2 linked regions of the Lepisosteus oculatus genome follow. The protein of the gene in region 2 purifies or fractionates together with the protein of the main gene of each other region. This does not show direct contact. Links are inferred from orthologs where the notes say so. Each region holds a gene or a part of one and is shown on either strand. Other genes may lie near its edges.

Region 1 (7,270 bases), on a different chromosome or scaffold from region 2:
CTTGTGGTTACAGAAAGAAAGAAAAATCATGAAAATGAAGTCAAATAAAAGGGTCAAGTTGACATAATATTGTATTGTGTGACAGCAAATAAACAACTGTGTGGCCTTTTGTCATTATTTTTTGGTATTTCTTGGTTTCATAAAAAATTGGAACTTCTGCTTCAGAGGTGTCCAAGTACAACACAGATTTCGTGTCTTGAAGCATGTGAGTGAATTACTAAACAATGAAGACAGAAAGTTTTTTTTTCAAGCATATGTTTTAGAAACAACTTACACCAATGAACGTATAATGAGATTTAATACCCACTAAACAGTACAAATCATTTTTTAGCAGCATGGTGCTATAGCAGTACTATATAGACATGGTTGGATCTCAGGTTTGAGTCTGGCCTGGGTGGCTTCTGTGTAGTGTTTGTATGGTTTATTCCTGACTACATTTATTTTTTGACCAAAGGCTCTTATTTTCTCTCACTATCCAAAGAATTAACCTAGACATCAACCTGTCAAGGTTAATTGGCATGTCTAGACTGACCAGTCTGTGCGTCATGCCATAGACTATCTGTGGCCTGTGGTGTTTTATGCCTTGTGCTGCTGGGTTTGGCTCGAGATCCACACAGCTCTGTTTTGCGGTGGCCATGTGGGACCATTACCTTTGCTGACTTTAGTCGAGGCAACCTCTTAAATTGCCAGTACTAACTGACAACATTAATTGATCTGCTTGCTTCTTTAAGTTCCAAAAACCCCTGAATCACAGAAACTGGTATAAGGGTGATAATTAAAAGTCCCAATCACCTTTTAAGGATCTGAGAGAAGTTTTAAAAATACTGCCCGAAAATCCAGCTGAAAACCATCAGCTTGTAATTAAGAACTCTGCTAGAATAACAAACAGCACTTTCTCAAGGCTCAGGTTTGGGAATGACTTCTGTATTCGATGAAGAGCTCATTGTGAGTGGATGGATATATACATTTACAGTGGAACTCTGAGATCATCTCACTCACTTTCCACTTTTTGAATTCCTGTTTAAGCAGCCATGGGCAAAAACCATAGTTCAAGTAGATAGCTGCATCAGCATGCGTAGGCTGCAAAGGAACAAGTAAAGGTTTATTCCAGGCTGAAAAGAGAAGAAAAGAAACACAACATTTTTGCTCTGGAGCCTTCTTCACGTCACCCACAGTTGCTTTGATTATTTGCAAAGAAAAGGTGTTTAACTCGAAAAGATCTGACTGAGCTGGGAGACTGCAAGGTTAAGTCTGTCCCGTTTTAGTGCACCTTACACCCCATGTTAAAAAAAAAGTAAAAAGGAGTCTGGGCTTCAAAATGAACTCCCTTACTGTAATTGTCAATCCTACACAATTCACATTCACAATTCCCAGTTGATCCTTTATGTTATTTACTATTACTGTTAATGCCCCAGCTAAAGTTGTGATAACAATGTTAGCAATGCGTTTTCCTGGTTTTACAATCAAAACTGAGTTTTCAAAGATTGGGAGAGGCAGAGGTGTGGCATATAAAAAAAGAAAACTTTTATCTACAGTCTGCAAAGATATTTGAGATTGTGCTGCACTACACACATCTTTTTTAACACAGGTATGAAGGCAGCCTCTTGTTTGGGGGGTTTCTTTCATTCATATGGGTATTCAGGGCTTTCATGTGCAGATCTGCAGACATGTAGCCTATGCCTAGAAGGGAAAATGAGGCACCATCACATTCATTTTGAGTGTTGTTAGACACACCTATAACTACTGTATGTGAATAAGAGGACTCACCTCTGAAGGATGAACCAATCAGCCTGTTTGGTGTATAAGACGCCCCTCCTAGCTGTCTTGCATTAACAGTGATTTTTACCATTTGTTTCCTGAAACTGATTAAAAGTGGCTACAGTTAACAACAGCAATGTATTTTCATTGGACCAATTTTGATGAAGCCTTGGTCATTAATTTATAAGGAATGATATGCAAGAAAATCACAGCAAAGCAAAGAAAGCAAAAAAAAACATTTTTTTATTTACTTGAAATTAAAAATGAAAACACATTTTTTGCTGAAATGTTGATAATACAAAAGTGTCTCCATTTTAGAACATAAAAGGTTTGGTTTGGCTCATCTAGCCTCTATGTAGTGTGTTTGGTAAGTATGTTCTTTATTTTCTTCTTAGTATATCTAAGATTCTTACTTCAGAGTAAACAATGATGATGTGCATTCTTGAGATAAAATTAAGAGAGGGAAATTATTTCTTTTTCAGTTCAGAACTATCTTAGAATTCCAGTCCATTGTTCATGCAAATTACTCCCAAACAGATTATGCAAAACAATCTCTAATATGAGTCTATTAATACACTAGATTATAATTATCCACCACAGCTAGGGAATGCAATATGACTTTGTTACAGTAGGTGTCAAAATAATTGTTGAGGAAATTATTCTATTAATACAAATACAGTATTACAATAAAACATCTATTTCCATCATGAAAAAAAGATTTATGGTGAGGGGTTATGTGCAAATACCTGTACTAACATGCCAGTGAAAAGGTGATGTTGGAAATTGATGAATATTGCCATTAATATACTTCACAATTTAAAAAAATAAAACATTTACTAATCTGTTCATAGACACCCACATATTTAAATAACATTCATAAATATTTGTATTCAAAACAGCTTTAAAAGGTTAATTCACAAATGAAGATGCTGTAGGGATTAAAGGTATTGTATACTCAGATTGAGAATGGGTTAACAAACAGGAAAGAGGACATCATTGCAAAGAACATAACTTCTGAAAGCTGTGGCCTGCTGTGCTAGACTGCTTAGCCAGAACTGTATCAATGATTGACATTGTGATGTCATCACCTAAATCATTTCTAAGTGAAATTTTAAAATTATACAAAATAGTGGGGAATAGCAGACACAGAAACAGAACCAAGGGAATTAAAAAGAAACTTGCACACAACCATTTGATTAATGTTGATATTTGTAAAGTGATCTATACAGGAAGTAAGGAACATATTCTACGGTATATATCACATGGGTGATTCTAAGCTACAGGCACCTATGCAAGAAAGATGTCTGGGTTTAATATCCTTCATGTCTTCATCTTGACAATGTGGGGAAGCAATAAAAAAGGAAACAGAATGCTTAGGAATATGGCACGTTTAAATCATGGAAAGTCGTGCTTCAGATTTTACAGCACACTAGTAAGATCTTGTTTAGAACATTGTTTCCAGTTTTGGCAACCATATCACAATAAGGACATCACGACAATAAGATTGATTCTTGGCCTGAAATGTCTGTCGTATACAGACAGGTTGAAGGAGATCACAAAAAAGCTACAGAACAAATGTTCTCATCGCTATAGAATAAAAGGGATTAAAAGAAGATTTTAGAAGAGTATTTTAAATCCTCAAGTAGTATAAATAGATTTTCAGCATGGAATAAAACTGTTTTTTTATATTTATTATTTTTTGTTAAAAAGAGGCAGCCTGGGGAACTATTTCTCACTCATCAATGACACAAATACACAAGTTTGCAATTTGGAAAGTAAAAGTGAACTTCGGATAGACAGTAAAGCACATTTACACAAAGAGTTGCGAGTGTCTGGAACAGGCTTCCACCCAGATAGTTGAAGCCTTTTAAATTTTTGATTAACTTTGTTTGCACACTCCCATATAAGCATGATTGCACTAATGCTTTTCACTCGCAACATGTGTAATATTATAATGAATAATAATTCAGTTTACTAGCGCTGCATAAACAAATAACAAATCATATAACTTCACGTACCAAAATACAAACCATTAATTTAAAATGACTATAAATAATTTCAGGATTCTAAAATATTTCAATCACAGACGTAATGCTAATATACTCAGTATTATTTCAAGATAGTTGCATAATGAGCAGCTCAAACTACAACTAGGACAATAGTCTCCTGAAGTTCTTTTAAATTTGTGAACCGATTAATCGTAGCTTATCTTTTCATTGACCTTTTCCAGAATAAAGAAACGCTACACTTAATTTTAGCCAAAAGGCAGAGAAGCGTAACATAAACAATAGTTAATACAAAGACCAGAAATGTTGAAGTACTGTATTATGTTCGGCATAAACTAAAATCTTTTACTTTAAAGATCCCTTTAAATACCCGCTGTTCTCTCGCGGGCTTCTGTTGCATAGCAACGCCTGGTGCAGTGTGGGTTTGTATTGATTTTCTGACCAATAAGATTTTCGCTCCTCCGTGCGGAAAGCCAATCACATCTGAGAAACGAAACCACGCCAATTTTAAAGCTTGAACTTCCTACTCTCCTAGGTGATCGCGTTATTTTGTTTGTCAATAACGAAAGGATAAATGTGAATGTTCTTTTTTTTTTAAAGAAAGTTGTCAAAGAAGGCTGCTAAAACAAATATTTGGCAGTCACCTATCAGTATTTCTTTGAAAGGGGGATTTCCGCTGTTTGAAGAGATTGTCCTTGCAAAAATCTGGATTTAACATTTACTTTCTGTTTTAAGTTCGTTTAAAGATGCCGTCTCGCGTAGAAGATTATGAAGTTTTATACACAATTGGATCTGGATCTTATGGAAAATGTCAGAAAATAAGACGAAAGACAGATGGAAAGGTATACATTACTTCACTGTGTTGTTTGGTTGCATTACATGACCGACTTCATACTCGTTCTTTTGAAATGAAGGATAATGCAAAATACGAACGCTATCTTGGAACGTCTTTTTAAAATACATTAACAATATGCATTTTTGTTCCTCGTCACGCTTTTATGATGTTGTGTGTGATGCAATCATTGTGCATAGAGAAGCGCTTTCATTTTAAGATGACGTTACCGTGCAGTTAAAACATGTATCGTCAGTATTTGTAGTACTTTTATCTGCTGCGCTCCCAGGTACTTGTGTGGAAGGAGCTGGACTATGGCACCATGACTGAAGCCGAAAAGCAGATGCTGGTGTCCGAAGTGAATCTCCTCCGTGAGCTCAAGCACCCCAATATCGTTCGGTACTACGACCGCATCATCGACAGGAGCAACACCACGCTGTATATCGTCATGGAGTACTGTGAGGGGGGGGATCTGTCCAGTCTCATCACCAGGTGTATTAAAGAAAGGTGCGTACGTACACTGTATGAGTGTACCTCCCTTGATTCTCTTTTCTTGGGTGCCTGCCAGTTACCGGTGTTTAAGTAATACTCCGACTTCTAGACTCGAATTACTGGGGAGTATTCGGAAGTAAATGAAATTAAAAGCAGTCCGTCTCTTTAGCCACAAGTTAAGATATTAAGATTTTTTTTTTGCAGAGTCCAGCAATGCTAGGAAGAAGGCAAACGTCAGTGACGGTTATATTCACTCATGGCTGGATCACAATGCAAGGGAGAAATAAGTCATGCAAACAAAAAGCAAACGCTAACAATGCCAAACGGGTCTAATGCCCTGGTCATACATCATACATAGCCTTCCCATTATTTCCTTGGGGTAGGGAACTGCATAATTACTGTACGGCCCCTTTAATTGGTCCAGGCTTAAACAACTAAGAGGTCTCTGGAGCTACACCATTACTGAATAAAACATATGCCTGAGACTTTGCCAAACTAGCCTCTAAACATCTCACTTATTTTCTTTCAGGTTAGTTTGCTTTTATATTCATGGCATGGTAGTGTAGATAAACAAGCATTTGATTTCTCGACACCTTTAATGCCATTTGTTCCTAAGATGGAGTAGGCCATTTGGCCCATCAAGCCCACTTGGTAGCTAGTTATTGATTGCTCTGAGGATCTCATCCAGTTATTTCATGACTGAAGCTAGAGTGTATTTTAACAACTTGGTGGGATAGCCTGTTCCATACTCCCACAGCCTTCTATGTAGAGTAGCTTTTGTTCTTGGAATGAAATGCAGGACGTTTCCAGTTGTGATCTCTTGTTCACTTGACCCCCTATCTTACTTTTGTCTTTTTGACCACTTAGCCCGTTTAGGAGCTGGTCGGTAATTGATCCGGCCGCTTCTTGAAAGAAACCAGGGAATCGACTTCAAAAATGTGGCTGTGGAGCTTGTTGCACACTCCCACACCCTTTTGTTCTTGGCTTTAAATAGTTTCAACAACAAGTTTCCACTTGTCCTCTGGTTTGTGTTTCTGAAGGACTCTGCTGTGTTGATTTTCTCAGTGCCTTTGAGGATTTTGAATTCTTGACCCCCCTGATTAGTCATCTTTGTTCAAGACCAGAAAAGGTTCACCTCGTTTAGCCTGTCAATGAAGGATATAACCTTAAACCGGGACTGCATCAAATTGCTCTTCTCTGGACTGGTTCAGGAGCCGCTTTGCCATGTGCCTTGAATCTGCCAGGTGTTTTTCCCAGTCTGTTCATGCTTTCCTGGCTTTTGTTCTGGTTTTGAATAGATGTGTGGCTGTAATTCAGACTGCTCTTGTTCTGTTCTTTGAGCTATCTAATTTGAATCCTGAGTATTACCGTTGTGCATGAGTTTATTAGTACTCTATAAAATATTCTACACAATTCATTAATAAAGCATTTTGGATGTAACCGTTTTCTAATCATTATTAAGTAGGTAAAACAGATTTGCCATCACTTTGAAGCTGGTGGTGCTGGCTCTGAAAGCTGTTTGAAGACCCGACCTAAATGTCCTTTATGATGCTTTTCTTCTATTGCTGGACATGGGTGTAATAATGGATCTGTTTTCATAAAAGCTGTGGTGTATATGGCTGCTGGCTAGATCTTTTCCACTCTTAGCCAGCTATAGGTAGCCCTTATACTTTGAAGACCAGCATTGCATGAGAGGGTTTTCCATCGAATAAAACTGAGTGCTCCATGTTCCTTCCCTCGCAGGCGATACCTGGATGAGGAGTTCATCTTGCGGGTGCTCACCCAGCTGGCTCTGGCGCTGAAAGAGTGCCACAGAAGAAGTGATGGGGGCCACACGGTGCTACACCGGGACCTCAAGCCAGCCAACATCTTCCTTGATGCTAAGCAGAATGTCAAGCTGGGAGATTTTGGTTTGGCCAGAATATTAAATCATGATACCAGCTTTGCCAAAACCTTCGTGGGAACTCCCTATTACATGTCTCCAGTAAGTTAAAATCTTCTCTTCTAATCGGCCCGCTGGTTAATTATCAGGGATGTAAGAATTAAATATTAGATGGATCCACTCTGAAATAATTTTTTTTTTTTAAATCGGTGTATGGGTTTGTCAGCTTTTCCTGGTGATGTTCATGGCTAAAAAGAAATATCAGAATACAGCATATTTTTCTTAAAACTAAGATCGTTT
Region 2 (7,188 bases):
GCTGCTCTGTAACCTATCAATAATGATGATGACTGCATGCCTGGCATCTCTTGTAAAGGATATAGAAGAGCACAATACGTTCTCAATTTCAGCAACAAGATCAGACCTTTCCACGGGAGGGCAGTGTTTCCTCATTTCCTGTTATGATCATCATCATTAATGGTTCTCTCAGGGGTGGGTACCTCCAGTCCTGGGCATCTGCATTTGTTTCTGCTTTTCATTCCATTTTCCATTCCATCGACTTTAATGACTAAACTGAACTAATTAAGTGGCTATGAAGTCAAATGCAAAGACGTTTTGCAGGTCTAACCAGGTGCTAATTGAGAGGTAACTCTAAAAAGGGCCAGAGCCTGGCGCTGCAGGACAGGAGCTGCCCGCCCCTGCCCGTTCACCGCCTGCTCAGTGTCGTCTGCATGCCTTCTGTTCTCACGGTGGAATTCCTCCAGTTACTTGATGTTAAAGGAGCAAGAGGGAACGGATAAGAATTTTTTTTATTTTTTCATTTGCACTGTCATTGCTTTGTTTGCACTTATTGTGGGAGGAGATGCATCCAGCTGGCTGGGGGGTGGAGAGCTGCAGCCTCTGAGCCCCCAGACCACGGCAGTGGGCTTGCAGACAGGGAGGGACTGGGGCTTTTAGAAGAGGCTGGTGAGTATTATTGTCAATGCAGGTTTTTAACTCCAGGATACTACGATTCATAGAGTTTTTAAGTTCTTTCAAATTAAAAAAAATTCTCACTTTCCTGCTCCATTCCCAATTTCCTCTAGTTACTGTTCACAGGTCCTGATTAAGCACATTAGTCTCAAGCACTCCTGCTACACGAGCTGCTGTAGCAAACCCAGCACAGTAGGTGTTCTGTAAACTCATGCTCATGTCGGATTAAGAGCAAGCCCCTGTGTTTAATGAGCAATAAGCAGTGGCTGCCTTTATCAACTAGAAACTCTTAGAGGTGTCCTCCCAAGTGAGCAGTGGAGAGTGACGGAAATCACAGGACACAGCCATGCGCCCTGCAGCCCCTGGAGACCAGGGACTGACCTGCTGCAGAGAGGCTCACTGAGGGCCAGAGCTCTAGCCCACTGTCCACTCTTGCGCCAGAGAAACTTACCTGTATGTTAAAATAGAAACTGTCACGTCTTATTTCTTTGTATTCTTTTGATCTATGGCATTGGAAAAAAATTAATTGTATCATTTCTACCCAAACAACTTAAAAAATGTTCGTCAGACAACACAAATGCAAATAAAAACTAGATTAAACAAATTGTTTTTCTGGAGTCTCTTGATTGCAGTGGGTTTCTGTCTCCTAAGATGGCAGTATAAAAAACTGTCCCTTAGCTACACCCTGCATGCTTTTCAAAAGTGTCTGTTTACCACGCTGTACGTGTATGATGGTGCAGTTAAATTATACATTTCAACTTGGTGTATTTTTTAGTTTGTTTGTCCTGGGAAAACTGGCCCTGGTGTGATTTGACATATTTGTGGGTGTGGGAGCCCTGCGATGGACTGGTGGTCGCATCCAGGGTGTACCCTACCTTGTGCTGGATAGTGTCCAGCTCCCCTGAGACACTGAAGTGGATGATCGGCATATTTTTAAAAAACAAAGGCTGCTGCAGCTTCTGTAGAAGTATTTATTAAAATCTATATATTTTATTTTAGAAAAGAAATACAAAAGATTGGTGCATGAAACTCAGAACAGTTTGATTGCAACTACAGATGATCTACAGTCTCTCTGTCAGCACGGAGGCCACAGCAGGGGCATTTCCAGACTCGCGGGAGCCCAGTACGGGCTCTGGTGCTGCAGGGCTCGACTCTCTCCTCTGGGGGGCTGGGTGGTGGCATCAGTGGTCCTTGTGTGCCTTCCGTGGGTCAGCAGCTTTGCCCAGGTTCCCTGCCTCCCTCTTCAGCACACTCAGAAGAGTCTGGGAGCTCTCCAGGATCTGGCCATTGCAGAGAGAAGGGGTAAGGAGGAGAGAGAGGAGTTCTGTTAGCCAAGACAGTTTTCATGAAATCTTCTTTGTTTCAACTCTTCTTTACGTGGAGAGTTGGGAGAACTTTGAGCCTGCCTACTCATCCCTGATATGGGAGTTGATCCCACAGGACCCTTCGGGGAAACAGTTTGATGAGACTCTGTGATTAACTAAGTGAGTCAACTGGAATCTTCTGAACTGGCTCCTCTCTTTAAAAATCTTTCAGATGTTCTCCTAAGATTAAACATGCTGAACCAGCACATACTGAAAAGAGAGTTTTCTTTTTCCTCAAAAATAAAGCTGGGAAAAAAGCTGGACACAGTGGAGCAATTAAGGAGTAGATGGGGGCTGTCATGCTGAAGAGCTCGGAGCCAGGGTACTCCAGGGAGTACAGGCACAGCGGCTCATTAGTGTTATTTTTTCATTAGAGAGATTGGGGGGTGTTAGTCTTTACACATTCCAGAGGGAGCTGGAGTACATGTCCAGGAGAACACTACCCCCCATGCAAAAACAGCAGTTATGCAAGGACATGCTGGATGCCTTTAATGCAGGGTTTACTTAAGTAGTACTGGGACTTCACAAGCACCATGCAACCACAGTGTAGAGACGCATACTGAGACTTTGCCTGATGTCTAGGATGAAGTTTGTAGGGAACAGTATCATTCTTTTATTTGATATGCTGTAGGTGTTAGAGTGTGCAGTGTATGCAGTTGAGATAGTGCGGGATGCAATGTGTGTAGATGTGTAGATGTAGTACTTAGACGTAATGGGATCCAGCACCAGTATGGCCAGCAGAGAAGTTCTCACCTTCATGTACGCGGCCTCAGTCTCAGCGATGGTGCGGTCAAAGTCATTGCGTGAGGCCAGCTTGCGCGCCAGGCTCTCATTGACACGGCTCAACTTCTCGGTCAGGATGCGGATGTCATTCTGGAGCCGAACCTTCTCCTCCTCTTCCTGCTCGATCTGTCTGTTCAGTTCATCCCTCTTCGCACACAGCTCCTCGATACCTGCGCAGCACAGTAACACAGCTCCTCAAGCACCATTCCAACGAGAACCTACAATGGGTTCAGTCAGTGTTTTAACAGGAGCAATTTCAAGTTAAGAAAACACTGAAAAAAAGGAAAAAGCCTTCTTCGTTTGCAGCTTGCACACTGATGCAGCTATATAGTACTAGTGTATTGTCGTGTCAATACATCCACTGCTGACACTGTCCCTCAGCGTGCCAGCCCAGGCCTGATGACTGCTGCTGTATTTGTGCAGTTCTACCCACCCAAAGCTCTGGGGGCCGGGGAGGTGTCATGGAGGAAGAATCACCATCTCTGCTGGAGGAGTGGACAGTCTCTGAGGTCACAAAACTGGAGGAGGAAGGGATTCTCACCCCAGCTGATCATCAGTCATTTTAATTAGAGTTAACTAAATCAGCGGAGCTGGGCACTCGAGGCATACCGTGGAATACAATGACATCACTTGTGTAATCCCACCTGGGATGTGACTTCAGGGCAGAATTCTGATTTATTGTTTGCCACTGAATGCACAGAAAACAAATTTAATAGGATTTTTGTTCTCCTGCTTGTTTGTAGTGCCTCCCAGCTACACACCCTATGTAAACACACAGCCCCCTTTCAAATCTCTGCCCACACCAGTACCAATTCCGCTCACATACAGTTCAATGACAAAGACCTACTTTGAAGCCAGATACAGTAATGAGTCCAGACATCCCTTACAGCCCACAGACACTTCACAACAGGATCGGTCCAGAGAGTCGAGCTGAGCCCGGGAGACCACAGGACTCGAACTACCCCAGCAAAAGACCCTCTCTAATCGGATTCCCACTAACCTCCTGGAAGGCTGTCTTCACTGTGCCTAATCCCGACACTCACTGCTCACTGTGAGCGCGGCCCTATGCACATCGACGGTACAGCAGTTTCAACAGTAGCTTGGAAACGCTCGATGAAAAACAGAAACAATTGCATTCAACTCAAAAATGCTAAAATCTTCAGCTATAACAAGAAGCAATCTCCCACACATTCACGCCTCTGCATCCTCCGCTGATTTCGCATTGTGTTCAGAAAACACACAAGCCGTGCCGTTATTTGACACAGGACAGCCTCCAGCTGCGGAGGCGATAGCAAAAGTATTTTATTTCTCGATTTTAAGCAGCACGAATTGCCTGCTATGCTGGACATCAGGCTATCACACCGTATTTGTTTCGCTATGGGTCTCAGTCTGACGGCTCGAGAGGATCTCTCCCGCCTCGGGTCACTCACACTTGACCAGCTCGTTGTTGTAGGTCTGCAGCGCCGCTCCCTGCTGGCTCATCCTGCCGGCTCGGCGGGACTCCTGCACGCACTGCCCGGGATGGGCCTCGGCTCCACCCGCCTCTTCGAGACGAATCTCCTTTGCTGGCACGCAGATGAGGCTCGGTCGCAGTGCCCACTTGTCAGTTCAGCTACCCTCTCCCCTGCGTTCCCGTTTCCCCTCTGTCTTCCCTGCGGAGCTGTTGTGCGGCGCTGCCCTCCTCTTCCGGTCAGTTTCCAGGGCAACTGCCTAGCGCAGCTAAACGGCCGCTCTGCTTCCGCCACACTCTACAACGCTCTCTTATTTAATGCTTCTTCTTCGCCTTGCTTTTATCGTGCAGTGTCGGTGATGAGCCGTTTCATATCCACACGGAAGGTTTACGATCTCGTTATTAGACTTAGACGTCTGTTATTAGGGGCATAGCTAACAAAATGGTGGTGACGTCATTACAGTGCGCCGCAGCCGAGCGGGAGAATGCGGTTGGGTAAAAAAATTGTACCCTGGTTTTATAGTTAGAAATATAACGTCTTTGTCTGCATGGGGTGTACATATTCAAGACAGTAATTTGAGGCTGTAGCTCCTTTCTGAGTGGGCAGTTCCAGGAGCTGACCAGGAAAGAGCGGCACCGGAACCACTCGAAGGGCTCAGAACAAGAAACCTGTTACTGATTCGGCTCCAAAAATTATAACAATCGGCGCTTTTCAGGTAAGTCGGCGACGAAACAATTTTGGGCAAAGTTCAGAGTCCAAAGAAGCTTTTGCAGGAAAGACCAGGGTGCGCGGCTGTTGAAGGAGTGTCGGGCAGTGTCTTGAGCAGATTCCCTTACCTACAGTACGACACTGCAGTGTCAGATTCGTTCGGATACTTTAACACAGAAACAAACAATACATAATAATATGTCAGTAGCTGTGGCTTATCAAAATAGGTCCCTCAATGACGTGTATCTTGGATAATGTATCAGGTTGATTTCCGGAGGAAAGGCTGATGTACTATAGGAGCGTAATTGAGAATTCATTATCATGGAATCCCCATGTTCCAGTTAAGCCGTGACAGACCTGTCACAATCCCGAGATAAGGCGTGACAGTAAGCTCTCTGGAGGCCGTGAGCACAGGACCCTGAGGGTCCTGGGGTGTTGTGCGCACTGTGACAGCTGGGCTTCCTCATGCCGGGGTGTGTTATAACATGGGGGGCTTCAAAGTCTCAGGCTTCAGGGGAAGGTTTGCGCCTCATTATCTGAAAGCCCCCTGAAAAGAAGCCCCTTCTTTACCGGGTGGGAGGGACCAGAACTAAAGTAGCTTTCCTGCTCGTGTGAGCAGGTACTGAGCCAGCAAACTGTAGCAGCTGCTCCTCTCTCTGACAGCCCGTCCCGCCTGGGGGAGCTATGGACGTGGCCCCGCTGGCCGCCGCCTGGGACAGCGTGACCTCCGTGCTGGTGAGTGGAGTCGCCCGAGGAGGGGGCAGGGCCAGGGGGTGGCACCCTTTATCCTGCTTTTCTGCTGTTCCTAACTGAGCCAGGAAGGGCATTTTCCTGCTCGAATTTTAACAAGTCTCCCTCTTCCTTCCGCCTCCCCACCCCCTTCCTCCCCCAGGTGTCCCCGGGGCCAGAACCCCCCCCTGAAGAGCCTGTGTCCCAGGCCCTGGCGGTGCTGTGCTCCTGGGGGCTCGGCGGCAGCCTGGAGGCCTGGCTCCTGGAGGCCCTGCAGACGCGGCTGCAGGCGGCCGTGGCCCCCGAGTTCTGGGCTGGGCTGGACCAGCCGGAGAACGGGCTGAGTGAGAGGGAGCGGGCCGCGCTGCTTCTGGGTGCCTTCCGGACTCTGCTGAGCCGCCTGGAGCCCTTCCTGAGGGGGCTGGGGTTGCTGGGGGCCTGGCAGGACGAGGGCCGGGGGGGCCTGAGCGGCCCCGGGGCGCAGGGCCTGAGGGACCGGGCCTTCGCGCTGATCCGGGCCATCCTGCTCTTCTCCCCCGGCGGGGTGCTGCAGGAGCGCGTGCTGGAGTTCTACAGCCGCACCTTCGCCGCTCACATGAGCCGCGAGGAAGGGCAGGACGGGGAGCCAGAGGAGGCCGAGGGCCCCCTGGGGGACGAGGGGGGGCGGTGTCCCGGCTGCAGTATCCCCCCGGAGGAGTGCTGGTGCGAGGAGGCCCTGGAGCAGCTGAGCGAGCTGAGCCACATCCTGTGAGTGAGGGGCCGCGGCGGCGGGGGGGGGGGTGTGCGGAGATGCGCGGCCATGCTGACTCTCTGGCCCCTCGCAGCTCCAGGCTGCAGCTCCAGGAGAGAGTCAGCGCCGAGTCGGTGACGTCCATCCTGCACCAGCTGATTGAGCAGCGCATGGAGCGCCGCTGCCGGGGCGAGTACGAGAGCTCCTTCATCAGCGACTTCCAGCAGGTACTGCCCCCCTCCCTCTGGCCCTCCCGCTGTGTTGCTCCTGGGGAGTTGATCATCTGCCTTGCTCACACTGAATCCCACACACGACAGGCTCAGCAGTCCTGTCTCTGTCTCTGTCACATAGTGAATACAAACAAAAACATGACCACGGCTCTTTATTTTCATTCAGTCTCTCCACTGTCACTACCAGTGTGGTGGGAGATGAGGCCAGGTTGTTGCTTAAGGATTAGAAGAATCTGGGCAACACAGATCACAGAGCGCGAGGTGTGCTGGTTCGGCCGGTCAGCCCTGTCTCCTCTCCCCCAGTGGCTGGAGCGGGTGCTGGGCTGGCTGGGCCGGGTGTTTGCCAGCGCCGGGGGGCCGGGCAGTGCCGCCTTGCAGCGATGGCGCTGCCACATGCACCAGTTCTTCTGCCGGCTGTACGTCAGCATGAGGATCGAGGAGCTGTTCAGCATCATCCGAGGTGAGACGGGAGGCCCAGGGTGGGAGGAGTGTGAGAGAGCTGAGATAGACTCGTGGAGATGGGGGGCTGTGTTTTGTGG

What was found.
Region 1: the proteins of anapc2 (region 2) and nek2 purify together in Homo sapiens (affinity purification with mass spectrometry; 4 studies listed by BioGRID and IntAct, with this or other methods). This does not show direct contact. The link is inferred for Lepisosteus oculatus from reciprocal best matches to the Homo sapiens genes ANAPC2 and NEK2.

The regions. Positions count from the first base shown.
Region 1 is NC_090697.1:46,237,168-46,244,437, forward strand, and holds the start of nek2 (serine/threonine-protein kinase Nek2), read left to right. Parts: upstream 1-4,262; 5' UTR 4,263-4,510; coding exon 4,511-4,606; intron 4,607-4,617; exon of another isoform or gene 4,618-4,885; coding exon 4,886-5,103; intron 5,104-6,831; coding exon 6,832-7,072; intron 7,073-7,270. UniProt on the Homo sapiens protein: Protein kinase which is involved in the control of centrosome separation and bipolar spindle formation in mitotic cells and chromatin condensation in meiotic cells.
Region 2 is NC_090719.1:331,804-338,991, forward strand, and holds the start of anapc2 (anaphase-promoting complex subunit 2), read left to right. Parts: upstream 1-4,163; 5' UTR 4,164-4,178; coding exon 4,179-4,490; exon of another isoform or gene 4,491-4,967; intron 4,968-5,623; coding exon 5,624-5,695; intron 5,696-5,852; coding exon 5,853-6,436; intron 6,437-6,513; coding exon 6,514-6,646; intron 6,647-6,952; coding exon 6,953-7,109; intron 7,110-7,188. UniProt on the Homo sapiens protein: Together with the RING-H2 protein ANAPC11, constitutes the catalytic component of the anaphase promoting complex/cyclosome (APC/C), a cell cycle-regulated E3 ubiquitin ligase that controls progression through mitosis and the G1 phase of the cell cycle.